Canis lupus familiaris: one gene and its partners. The protein of the gene in region 2 purifies or fractionates together with the protein of the main gene of each other region. This does not show direct contact. Links are inferred from orthologs where the notes say so. Each region holds a gene or a part of one and is shown on either strand. Other genes may lie near its edges. The genes, in order: MYBL2, FOXM1 and G2/mitotic-specific cyclin-B1-like.

What was found.
Region 1: the proteins of FOXM1 (region 2) and MYBL2 purify together in Homo sapiens (affinity purification with western blotting; 3 studies listed by BioGRID and IntAct, with this or other methods). This does not show direct contact. The link is inferred for Canis lupus familiaris from reciprocal best matches to the Homo sapiens genes FOXM1 and MYBL2.
Region 3: the proteins of FOXM1 (region 2) and G2/mitotic-specific cyclin-B1-like purify together in Homo sapiens (affinity purification with western blotting; 4 studies listed by BioGRID, with this or other methods). This does not show direct contact. The link is inferred for Canis lupus familiaris from reciprocal best matches to the Homo sapiens genes FOXM1 and CCNB1.

The regions. Positions count from the first base shown.
Region 1 is NC_049245.1:32,003,836-32,006,888, forward strand, and holds the end of MYBL2 (myb-related protein B), read left to right. Parts: intron 1-970; coding exon 971-1,120; intron 1,121-1,938; coding exon 1,939-2,067; 3' UTR 2,068-2,476; downstream 2,477-3,053. UniProt on the Homo sapiens protein: Transcription factor involved in the regulation of cell survival, proliferation, and differentiation. Transactivates the expression of the CLU gene.
Region 2 is NC_049248.1:4,148,421-4,152,780, forward strand, and holds the start of FOXM1 (forkhead box protein M1), read right to left. Parts: upstream 2,948-4,360; 5' UTR 2,811-2,947; intron 861-2,810; 5' UTR 814-860; coding exon 288-813; intron 1-287. UniProt on the Homo sapiens protein: Transcription factor regulating the expression of cell cycle genes essential for DNA replication and mitosis. Plays a role in the control of cell proliferation. Also plays a role in DNA break repair, participating in the DNA damage checkpoint response.
Region 3 is NC_049250.1:29,512,702-29,516,054, reverse strand, and holds G2/mitotic-specific cyclin-B1-like, read left to right. Parts: upstream 1-1,352; 5' UTR 1,353-1,447; coding exon 1,448-2,731; 3' UTR 2,732-2,753; downstream 2,754-3,353. UniProt on the Homo sapiens protein: Essential for the control of the cell cycle at the G2/M (mitosis) transition.

The DNA of each region.
Region 1 (3,053 bases), on a different chromosome or scaffold from region 2:
TGTCATATTCTATTCTCATGGGGGTGATGTGGAGAGGGTTGGTGATGTGCACGGCCAGGTGGTTGGGACACATCAGCCCTGGGAACGGTGCTGTCTAGTTCCAGGCTGAGCTCAGGAATGGGGCTGTTGCCTACACAGAGCCTGCCCTCAGGACAGCACACCACACTGTTGATCCCTCCCAGCTGACAGTGGGGGGTTTTGCCCAGTGGGAGGCAGTGAGAGGGGTGGTGGGAGGCATGAGACAAAGGATTGCCTGATCAGATCCTGCACATCTGAGGATTTAGGACTGCTGCAGCCATAGCCCTCGCAGAGAAGCATCACTGGGCAGGGAGCCCCAGCAGGCTGGGGACTTCATGCTGTGCAGCCAGACCTGCAACAGACCTGCAACTGGGCATGTAACATACTTGCTCAGTAGTAAAGCTCTGGCAAGTACTTTAGAGCACAGGATTTGGGGTGGAGTGGACCTTGCAAAGTCCTAATGCTGGCTCTTGTTCTTTAGGATCTCTTAGTTTACCCAAACCTCAGGTTCTTGCCTTTGCCTTTCACTGTACTGAGCCCAGTGACTCTTTACCTTTAGGGTAAAGGTCAAGCAGAGCCGGGAGGCTGGATGGGTGGTGGGTGCTTTGTGTAGCTCTATGTGTGTGCTGGTTGATGCCAGCATCTGACTGCTTGTAGAGATTTCTAGTCCTAGGAGAAACTAGAGCACCCCCACCCTGCCTGAGGCTGTGGTGGGAGAGACCATGTCCATGTAAAAGGGGAGCAGCATTACTGGGCATCTATTAGTTGTCAGTCTCTGAAACGGGCACTTTACAGAGAATTCCCCATCTGGAAGGGGGCACAGGCTTAGAGAAGTTACTGTCCTGCTCCAAATCCTATAGCCCAGAGGTGGAGGTGCTGGGATGTGACTGGTTTCCTTCTTTCCCATCATGCTTATGGCAGAAGGGTGAGTCTGGCTTGGTTTTTGTTGCAGCCCACAAATGTCCTGTCGAGTTCCTCTAGCCTCATGGTGTCAGGCATCAAAGAGGACACCAGTCTGCTCAACGAGGGCTTCCTGCAGGCCAAACCGGAGAAGCCAGTGGCTGCCCAGAAGCCCCGAAGCCACTTTCCAACACCTGCCCCTGTGAGTGCTTGGCCACCAATGTCCTATTACCCTTGGGGACTTTGCTTATTTGTTGCCCGTGCCCAGATGCCCTTCTGAGACTCTGCTTGACTAGTTTACACTTCAGATCTCAGTCTGGACACTGCTCCAGATCCCCTTGGGGAGGGATCCCATCTGCTAGAGCCTCTACCCCCCTTTTAAGATTTTATTTATTCATTCATGAGACACAGAGAGGCAGAGACACAGGCAGAGGGAGAAGCAGGCTCCCCACAGAGAGCCTGATGTGGGACACGATCCCTGGACCCTGGGATCACACCCTGAGCCGAAGGCAGATGTCCAGCTGCTGAGGCACCCAGGAGTCCCCCCCGTCCCCCCCCGTCCCCCCCCCCCCCGCCTGTGAGCCCTTTTATGGTGTCACCTCACTTGTAATTAAGTCATGGTCTCCGTTTTTAGTTGCTTAGCACATGTCTGTCCTCAGGGGTAGGGGCTGCCCTGGCTGCTCATACCTCATTGTCTATATTTCATGAATTTCTTACTGCTCCTTCCCACTAGCCTGCTTGGCTGTAACTTTTCCTCGTGAGGAGGCTGGCACCACATGGGCAGGGGCACAGCCATGTTGCCGGTCCAACCTCTTTGCTGTATACCTAAGGAAGCCCTGAAACAGGAGTCACTTCTCCAGGGCCACTAGGGAGTTGGAGGGACCACAAGAAGACTTGTGGCTTGAAGAAGACCGAGAGTTGTAGAAATGCCCCCTACTCCTCCTGGCCATGCTCACATCACAGCATTTGCTGGGAGCTTGCTGCCCCTGCCTGGATGGTAACTCTCTTGCCTCCTCCCAGATGACCAGCGCCTGGAAGACGGTGGCCTGCGGGGGGACCAGGGACCAGCTCTTCATGCAAGAGAAAGCCCGGCAGCTCCTGGGTCGCTTGAAGCCCAGCCACACGTCTCGGACCCTCATCTTGTCCTGAGGGGCTTGGTGGTCACGAGCTCATTCTTATGTTTACAGGGGGCTGGGGGGACTGAGGTTGGTCTGTGAGTCTGAGAATCATACTCGGATGGCCACCTGCAGGGAGCCTTCTGCCACCAGCCCCTCCTCAGACTGCTCAGGTGGAGGCAGAGCAGGGCCACCCACTGCCTTGTCTCCGAGTCCAGCTGTGGCTGCGGTGGTTCCTGGTGCTAACAGAACAAAGTCCCACCCCTGGGCCTGCCTGGTCCTCTCCCCGGTGCCACAGGGAGTCCCCTTAGCTCCTCCTGAGCCCTTCTTGGGTCTGGCCTCATCTCAGACCCCTGCTTAGAACAGGGGATGTGGCCAGCATGCTCCTTCCCTCTACCTGTTAGTACATTTTCTTGAAAGAATAAAATTCCCTTTTTCCTTAATGCTGTTGTAGACTCTACCTTTCTCCTGTCTCCTGCTTGTGGTTTCCTGGTCGCTGGGTTGGTTCCCTGGTGACTGTCACAGGGGCCTTGAGGGATATGGAGATCTGGATCCTCATCCTCAGAGCACAGCCCAGGGCTGGGGCTCTGCATACTTTCCCCCAAAAGGTCCAGTGTGCTGGGGGCAGTTTGATCACCTAGTGGCTGTCTCAAAGTTCTGAGGATTCTTGGGTGTTAGCAGGGAGGGGAAGGTGCATCAGGACCCTGCTTGGCCATGGATGGCTGACCTGGCCTGCCATAGGCCTAGACACCAGGTGAGACTGGTAAACAAGGAGTGACTGGCAGCTGGCCGGAACTTACCACAGTGGCCTCAACTTGCCAAGGCCATGGCAGCAATCAGACCTTGGGCTCCAGTCCACCTGGTCAGGGTGCAGTGGGCCACTTGGCTGAAGCTAGGCACTGAAGTGGGGTAGGTGCCAGGTTTGAGAAGGTCTAGACAGGGAGGTGTTCAGCGGGGGGGGGGGGCTCATAGGATTTGGCATGTGGGGGGCCATGTCTGGGGGCCATTTGGCATGTGGCC
Region 2 (4,360 bases):
TCAGTTTTCTCCTTTATTAAAATGGGGGGAAATTCCTATTTCCTTATATGGTCAACGGGGAAGATAATTAAGAAAAATAAACAAATCCTTTTCTCATATAAGGAACATCAGAGAAATGCCAAATTATTATTTGGGCACTTTTGACAGCGCCCAAAAGATCTGGGTCAACGACTGGGGAGGAAGAAAGACAAGACTTTCCCCTGGTTCAGGCTAGGTGCCTGTCTGTGAAGTATCAACTTGATGGACTGCAGTCCTTGCTACCAGAGAGGAAAAGCTGGACTCCTCACCCCTTTGCCTTGCAGACCACATACCACAGCTCTCCCATCTCTGCCCGGGAAGGGCTTCAGGTGGTCTAGGCAGATTCACATCCCTAGCTGCCGGCTTTGATCCCAGGGTCTCGGTGACCACTTCTGTCCTCTTGGGATCATTGCTGGTTTGGGCTTGAGGCTGGGGTCCTGGAGGGTGAGTGGGGGCTCCCCCACAGCTGATGAGGATGAATTTGTTGGGCCCAGTGCTGCCACTCTCTTTTCCTTTGGCGGTCAATGCTGTGATGATGCTCTGGATATTGGCATTGTTAGGGATGGCCACCACTTGTGTGTTGGGCATGGTGGGGTGGTTAATAATCTTGATCCCAGCCGGAAACTTGCAAGAGTTGGACTCTGCTGCCTCCTTGGAGGCCTGTGCTTGACCAGGTTCCTGTTGGGCAGGGGGCCTCTTAGGTTCCTCTCCTGATGTTTCACCTGGGGCATTTTGAACAGGAAGGGGCAGCCTCCGTCTTTTGAGAATCAGTGGCCGACGGGGGCTGGTTTTCATTATGAATCTGTGCTTTCACTCTCCATTGAGAATCACAGGTACGGACCCTGGAAAGTGCAAGGAACAGCAGGATGTCAGAGATTTGTTAGGCTGAGAAGGAGGTATTGCTAGAGAGAGGTGTTCCTCTTTCCAAGACCAAAAGCAAGAGCCCATGGGTCCAGGTTAATGATCCCTGGGCCTCTGTAAAGACATCAGACAATAAGGAGATGAGTTCTATGACAAAAGAAAGCTTAAACCTAGACATTTCAAAAGGGGAAAGTGGGACTGGGTTGAGTATAGGTCAACAAGACCAAAGGTCTTCCAGAAGCTTAAGAATGTTGGCTAGAGAAATGAATGGGACAGTTACAAAAGTGTGGAAATTTCTATTATTGCTTATTATTATACAGACTGCTTGCAGTGACTCGAGGGGCAGGAATGCTGAAAGGAGGACATTTGGCAATTTGAGAAGTCCTGACAAAACTCTGATCCCGGGATCCCTGGGTGGCTCAGTGGTTTAGCACCTGCCTTTGGCCCAGGGCATGATCCTAGTCCCAGGATCGAGTCCCACATCAGGCTCCCTGCATGGAGTCTGCTTCTCCCTCTGCCTGTGTCTCTGCCTCTCTCTCTCTCTCATGAATAAATAAATAAAATCTTAAAAAAAAAAAAATCCTCTCTGATCCCATAATCTATTTCAGGATTGATAAAGCCTGTATATTTTTTTATATCATATTAGTTTATAAATAAAAGGATCAGCACCCATAGTATCAGAGGAGAAAGGTAGATCGTACTATTGCTCCCTTGCCAACACCTCCTCCACAAGACCTCAAAGAAAATGGAAACTGCTCTATTCAGGGCCCATGGTGCTATTCATATCACAGGCTACCACCCTTGCACTGGCAAAAGAAAAAGTACACTTTTCTTTCACAATCTGCAAAATATTTCTATAGTGACATTTTAGTGTTTGCATGTGCTTGATTCATATTTTAACTTTCTAAGCATGTTACTCTATTGCTTAATTTCTCTTCCAGAACCAAGAATAAAACCCTATCTGCTAAGAGAATGTCCTGTCATCAATAGGCTAAGTGGTTTTGTCATGCTAAGGAAAATAGTTTTATCTTTTAACAAAATTGGGTTTGATTTTAAAAAATACACGGGATACTCTATCATGTAAAATTGCGTACTCCTGGCCAGAGGAATGGGCTGTGTTAGGTCATCCACTATCTCCCAAAAGATGACTGTCTTGGTCCTATGACATTTGCCATCTGCTTAGAGTTCATAGGCTCTCTCCCCTCTGCCTCCTCCCTTTCTTTTATAACTAGGTTTCCTCTACTTTCAAATATCAGTTTTATTTCTCCCTCATATCTCTTCGGGCCTCCCTCCGTTCCCCACCAATCAGTAAATACTATTATTCCTCCCCTGTCCCCAAAAGAGATCTTCCTGGTCCAAGGCTTCATTTTGCTTTCAACTCTCTCACCAGTCTCTTGCTATCATTGGCAACACTTGATCTAACCTAGGGGACTTCCAGGGTGACTCCTCTGACAGCACTGCCCATCCTGACCAGGGAAAGCTTGCAGGTGCTCAGGAACCAGGGGAAGGGCCCTGGAAAAGGGTGGAGTGGAGGAGGCAGTGCTGCCCAGTGGTGAGGGCGCCTGGGCGCTGGGAGGCTGCGGGCACGTTTGCCTCGTATGTAATGCAGAAGCAGCTCAGTCTTCACGCCAGCCACAGTCTGCCTAGAAAAGCAGGCCGCCCCAGCAGCCCTCCCCAAGTTGTGGGCAGGGTGCAGAGGTCAAGCTTCCAGGGGAGGCCGAGAGGTGGTCTGAGAAAGAAGCGAGGGCAAGGCCGGGAGGCGGGGTGCGAAAAAGGCTTGCACCCTCGCTCAGCCCTGGTCCCGCGAGGCCCCAAACCTCCGCTCGGGTCCCGCGCCGGGCCGCTCGACCCCCCGGCCGCGGCGCCCGAGCCCGGCCTCCCCGCCGCCGCCCGGGCCGCGGCTCGGACTCCATTCCTCCGCCCCCGCTCACCTCCCGACTGCAGCAGTCGCCGCCGCTGGGCCGTGGCTCCGAGGGCGGGTTCCGGGCTCCTCCGAGCCGGGGGCTCGCGCCAGGCCGGCCGGGTCCCGGGCGGTGCGGGAGGGGTGGGGAATCCCGGGGGATCCCGGGAGGGGAGGGGAGGGGTCCCGGGCCGGGGGCCGGGGGTGGGGTCGGGCACCGGAGCTTTCAGTTTGTTCCGCTGTTTGAAATTGGCGCCGGCGGAGCGTTGCGGTCACGTGACGGAGCGTCGCCAATCGGCGGCCGCCCTTGTCTCCGCGTTCCGGGCCCAGGACGCGGCGGCCCGGGGGAGCGGCGGCCGCGACGGCGCCGGGCGGGTAAGGCGGGCCTGCGGCCGGCTCGTGGGGAGGGGCAGCGGGCCGCCGGGGCCGCCCTCGGGGCGCGGCGGGCGGGGGCGGGGGGCAGCCCGGGCGGCGGCGGCGGCGGCGGGGGGCGGGGGGCGGGCGGCGGGCGGCGGGCGGCGGCGCTGCCCTGCCGGGCGCCTCGGCCTGCGCCCCCTCGCGCGTGGCGGCCGCTTCCCGGAGCCCGCCCCGCCCCGCCCCGCCCCCGGCGCCGCGCCCCCCGCCCCCCGCCTCCCGCCCCTTTTCAGCGTCCCGGGCCCGGCTTCCCTGCGGGGGGGGGCGGGGGGCGCTCCTCCCTCACCTCCGCTAACGATCCGCTGGCCGCGGCCGCCCGAACGCCCCTCGGCTCGTCTGAGCTAACTCCCGCTTAAAAGTAAAGGCCACGCCGTGAGGATCCCGGGCGCACTCGGTCGACCCCCTTTGCCGAGCACCTGCTCTGCGCCAGGCCCTGCGGGGACGCCGGCGGGGCAGGTTCTTTCCTCACTGTGCGCGCAGCGCAGTCTCACGGGAAGAGGAGAGGCCGGTTTTGAAGGCTCCAGCAAGCAAAAGGAGGATTACGGCTGTGAAGGGATAAATGAGAGGTCACTGATAGCAGGATCGACAAGATCTTGCCGTCGGCAGGTCAGGAAAGGCTTTTCTGAACGGAACCTTGCTCCGAGATCTGATGCGCTTGTGCAAGGAAGAGCGTGAACCCCGCCAAGCAAAGGGAAGAAGGTGCGCAAAGGCCGTGTGGCAGGAGGAAGATTGGTGTGGACAAAGGCTGAAGGACGGCCGCGGGCTCAGAGCTGAGAGGCCGGAGTGCAGTGTGCGGTGAGATGAAGCTGGAGCCGAGGATGTAGGACAAAAATCAAAAATGTTAAGCAGAAGTGATTCAAGATCAGATTTGCATTTTTATTTCTATTTTTTAAGATTTTATTTGAGAGAGAAAAAGCACAGGAGAGACGGCATGGAACGGGCGAGGGCAGAGGAAGAGGAAGAGGGAGAAGCAGACTCCCCGCTGATCAGGGAGCCGGGCATGGAGCTGCATCCCAAGACTTAGAGATCATGACCTCAGCCCAAGGCAGATGCTCAACTGTTGGAGCCACCCAGGTGCCCCCAGATAGGCATTTTTAAAAGGCTTCCTCTGCAGGGGGCGCTGGAGTGGATTAGGGTAGACCCATTAGGTTATTGTGATACTTCAGA
Region 3 (3,353 bases), on a different chromosome or scaffold from region 2:
ACATAGTAAGAAAAGTGATTTACAAAAAGTAAACTTAAAGAAGACAAAGTTACTTAAGAATTTTGCTTCCGAGAAAAAAAAAGTTGATCTATTTTTCCTTATTTTTCCCCTTATGTACAATTTAAAACCCTGGACACTATGTATACAACAAACATCTGAAGACTCTAAAATGTGGAGAGAGGGCATATCAGTAGAAACACAGAGACTCAAGGAATGAAAGGGTGGTGAGTTTCCTAGGCTTTCTTTTTGCCTCAAATATTCCAGATTTGAAACTGAATAACTGGTAACCCAAAAAGACCAATACACACAAACAAAGCTCAAACAAAAGTCATACACCCATGGAAATTTGAGAGGAGAAAATATACTTGGAAATGAGAAGGGCAGCAGAAGCCAAAGAGAAGGATTTCGGTATTGAGTGTGTGTATTTCCTTTCTCTCCTCTTCATTCCAGCTCACTGCATTCCTCCTCCTATAGTATACATTTAGATTCCAGATCTCCCTGCTGCATCTGCATGCCAATACTTACACCATCACCACCTCGCTTGACTCCACCACTACCAGATAGGCCCCAATGTCAGAGGAAATACAGAGGCCAGGAATGAAGAAAAGGAGAAGTGGCAGGAAAATGCAAGGGCAGACAGTAAGATACTGAATTAACCTCTTAGCTTTCAAGAAGTTTTCAAAGTACCAATGAAGAAGGGAAAAGAGAGGGGTACCTAGGTGGCTCAGTGGTTGAGCATCTGCCTTGGGCTCAGGGCATGATCCCAGGGTCCTGGGATGGAGTCCCACATCAGATTCCCCACATTGAGCCTGCTTCTCCCTCTGCCTATGTCTCTGCTTCTCTCTCTGTGTCTCTCATGAGAAAATAAATAAAATCTTTAATTTAAAAAAAAAAAAAAGAAGGGAAAAAAGAGAGGAGAGACCTACAATGGTGTGGCTCTTCATACCCAAGTATACACTGAGTATTTATTAGGAGTTGCAAATTTACTACCACATTCAATTAAATGGAGAAGGTTTTATGAAAGACGTGAAAGAAGAAAGAAAGAAAGAAAGAAAGAAAGAAAGAAAGAAAGAAAGAAAGAAAGAAAGACAGACATGAAAATGTGGGAATTAACTGAAAGAAGAATTTGGTGAATTGCCAAGTTAAAGGAAATTTAGGAAACACTGCAAAGATGTCAATATATCAATTAAACCAAAAAGAAAACTGAGTATTCTCAATTATTAATACATGATTACAACCAATATTATACAAATATATTTAAATATACAATGAAATATAAGCTATATTATAATTACACATCAAGAAAAAACTAATTAGAGGTGCTGCGGAGGAACGGCTGTTGACCCGCGGGCCTCGGCTCCCGGCTCCCGGCTCCCGGCTCCCGGCTCCCGGCTCCCGGCTCGTCAGCGGCTCCCGCGCTCTCCTCTCCCCCCGTGAAGACGCGGCCATGGCGCTCCGGGTCACCAGGAACACAAAAGTGAATGTTGAAAACAAGGCGAAGATCGGTATGGCAGGGGCAAAGCAGGTGCCTCTGGCCTCTGCTGCAGCCTCCAAGCCCGGCCTGAGGCCAAGAACTGCTCTGGGAGACATTGGTAACAAAGTCAGTGAACAACCACAGGCCAAACTGCCTCTGAAAAAGGAAGCAAAAACTGCAGTTCCTGGAAAAGTCATTGCTAAAAAAATACCAAAGCCTCTGGAGAAGGCACCTGAGCCTGTCCCTGTCCCTGTGCCAGAACCAGAGCTGGAACCTGAGCCGGTTAAAGAAGAAAAACTTTCACCCGAGCCTATTTTGGTTGATACTCCCTCTCCAAGCCCGATGGAAACATCTGGATGTGCTCCTGCAGAAGAATATCTGTGTCAGGCTTTCTCTGATGTAATTCTTGCAGTGAATGATGTAGATGCAGAAGATGGAGCTGATCCAAACCTTTGTAGTGAATACGTGAAAGATATTTATGCTTATCTGAGACAACTTGAGGAAGAACAAGCAGTCAAACCAAAATACCTACTGGGTCGTGAAGTCACTGGAAACATGAGAGCCATCCTAATTGACTGGCTAGTACAGGTTCAAAAAAAATTCAGGTTACTGCAGGAGACCATGTACATGACTGTTTCCATTATTGATCGGTTCATGCAGAATAACTGTGTGCCCAAGAAGATGCTGCAGCTGGTTGGTGTCACTGCCATGTTTATTGCAAGCAAATATGAGGAAATGTACCCTCCAGAAATTGGTGACTTTGCCTTTGTGACTGACAATACTTACACTAAACACCAAATCAGACAGATGGAAATGAAGATTCTAAGATCCTTAAATTTTGGTCTGGGCTGCCCTCTACCCCTGCATTTCCTTCGGAGAGTGTCTAAGATTGGAGAGGTTGATGTTGAGCAACATACTTTGGCCAAATACCTGATGGAGCTATCTATGTTGGACTGCGATATGGTACACTTTCCTCCTTCTCAGATTGCAGCAGGAGCTTTTTGCTTAGCGCTGAAAATTCTCGATAATGGTGAATGGACACCAACTCTACAGCATTTTCTGTCCTACACTGAAGAATCCCTTCTAAATGTTATGCAACACCTGGCTAAGAATATAGTCATGGTGAATCGTGGGCTTACAAAGCACATGACTATCAAGAACAAGTATGCCGCCTCTAAGCATGCTAAGATCAGCACTCTGGCACAGCTAAATTCTGCACTAGTTCAAGATTTAGCCAAGGCTGTGGCAAAGGTGTAACTTGAAACATGCATTGGAGTATTGTAATATCTGCAAATAAAATTGGCACCATGTGCCATCTGTATATATTATATGTTACCTTTACTTACTTTTAATAAAGCTTGTGGTCCTTTTTAACTTCTTAAAAAAAAAAGAAAAAACTAATTAGATATATTTTCTAAGTTTTCATTTTTTTAATTTAAAAAAATTTTTTTTAATTAATTAATTTGTTGTTTAAGTAATCTCCATATCCAACATAGGACCTGAACTTACGGCTCCAAGATCACAAGTCGGATGTTCTATCAACTAAGCCAGCCTGGAACCCCTAAGTTTTCATTTTTAAGGTACAAATTAGTGTAACCGAAACTGCGTGTACTAGGAGACAACTAAAACCTTGAAATGAACATTTAAAATATACAGTCATTAGTGTATGCAATATCTTTTGCATATTTTAATCTAAGCTTTTCAAATTCTCAATACCTTTTGATAATATTGGCTAATGTTAAAGTCAAACTATATATCTCAGAAACCATATTCTAGAATTTGCGTACAATATCAGTACCTTTTATTTTGCTACACAATTTAATGCCACTTACAACTTTTCTTTAAAAAAATAATGGTGAAGTGCTAAATTTTGCCACAA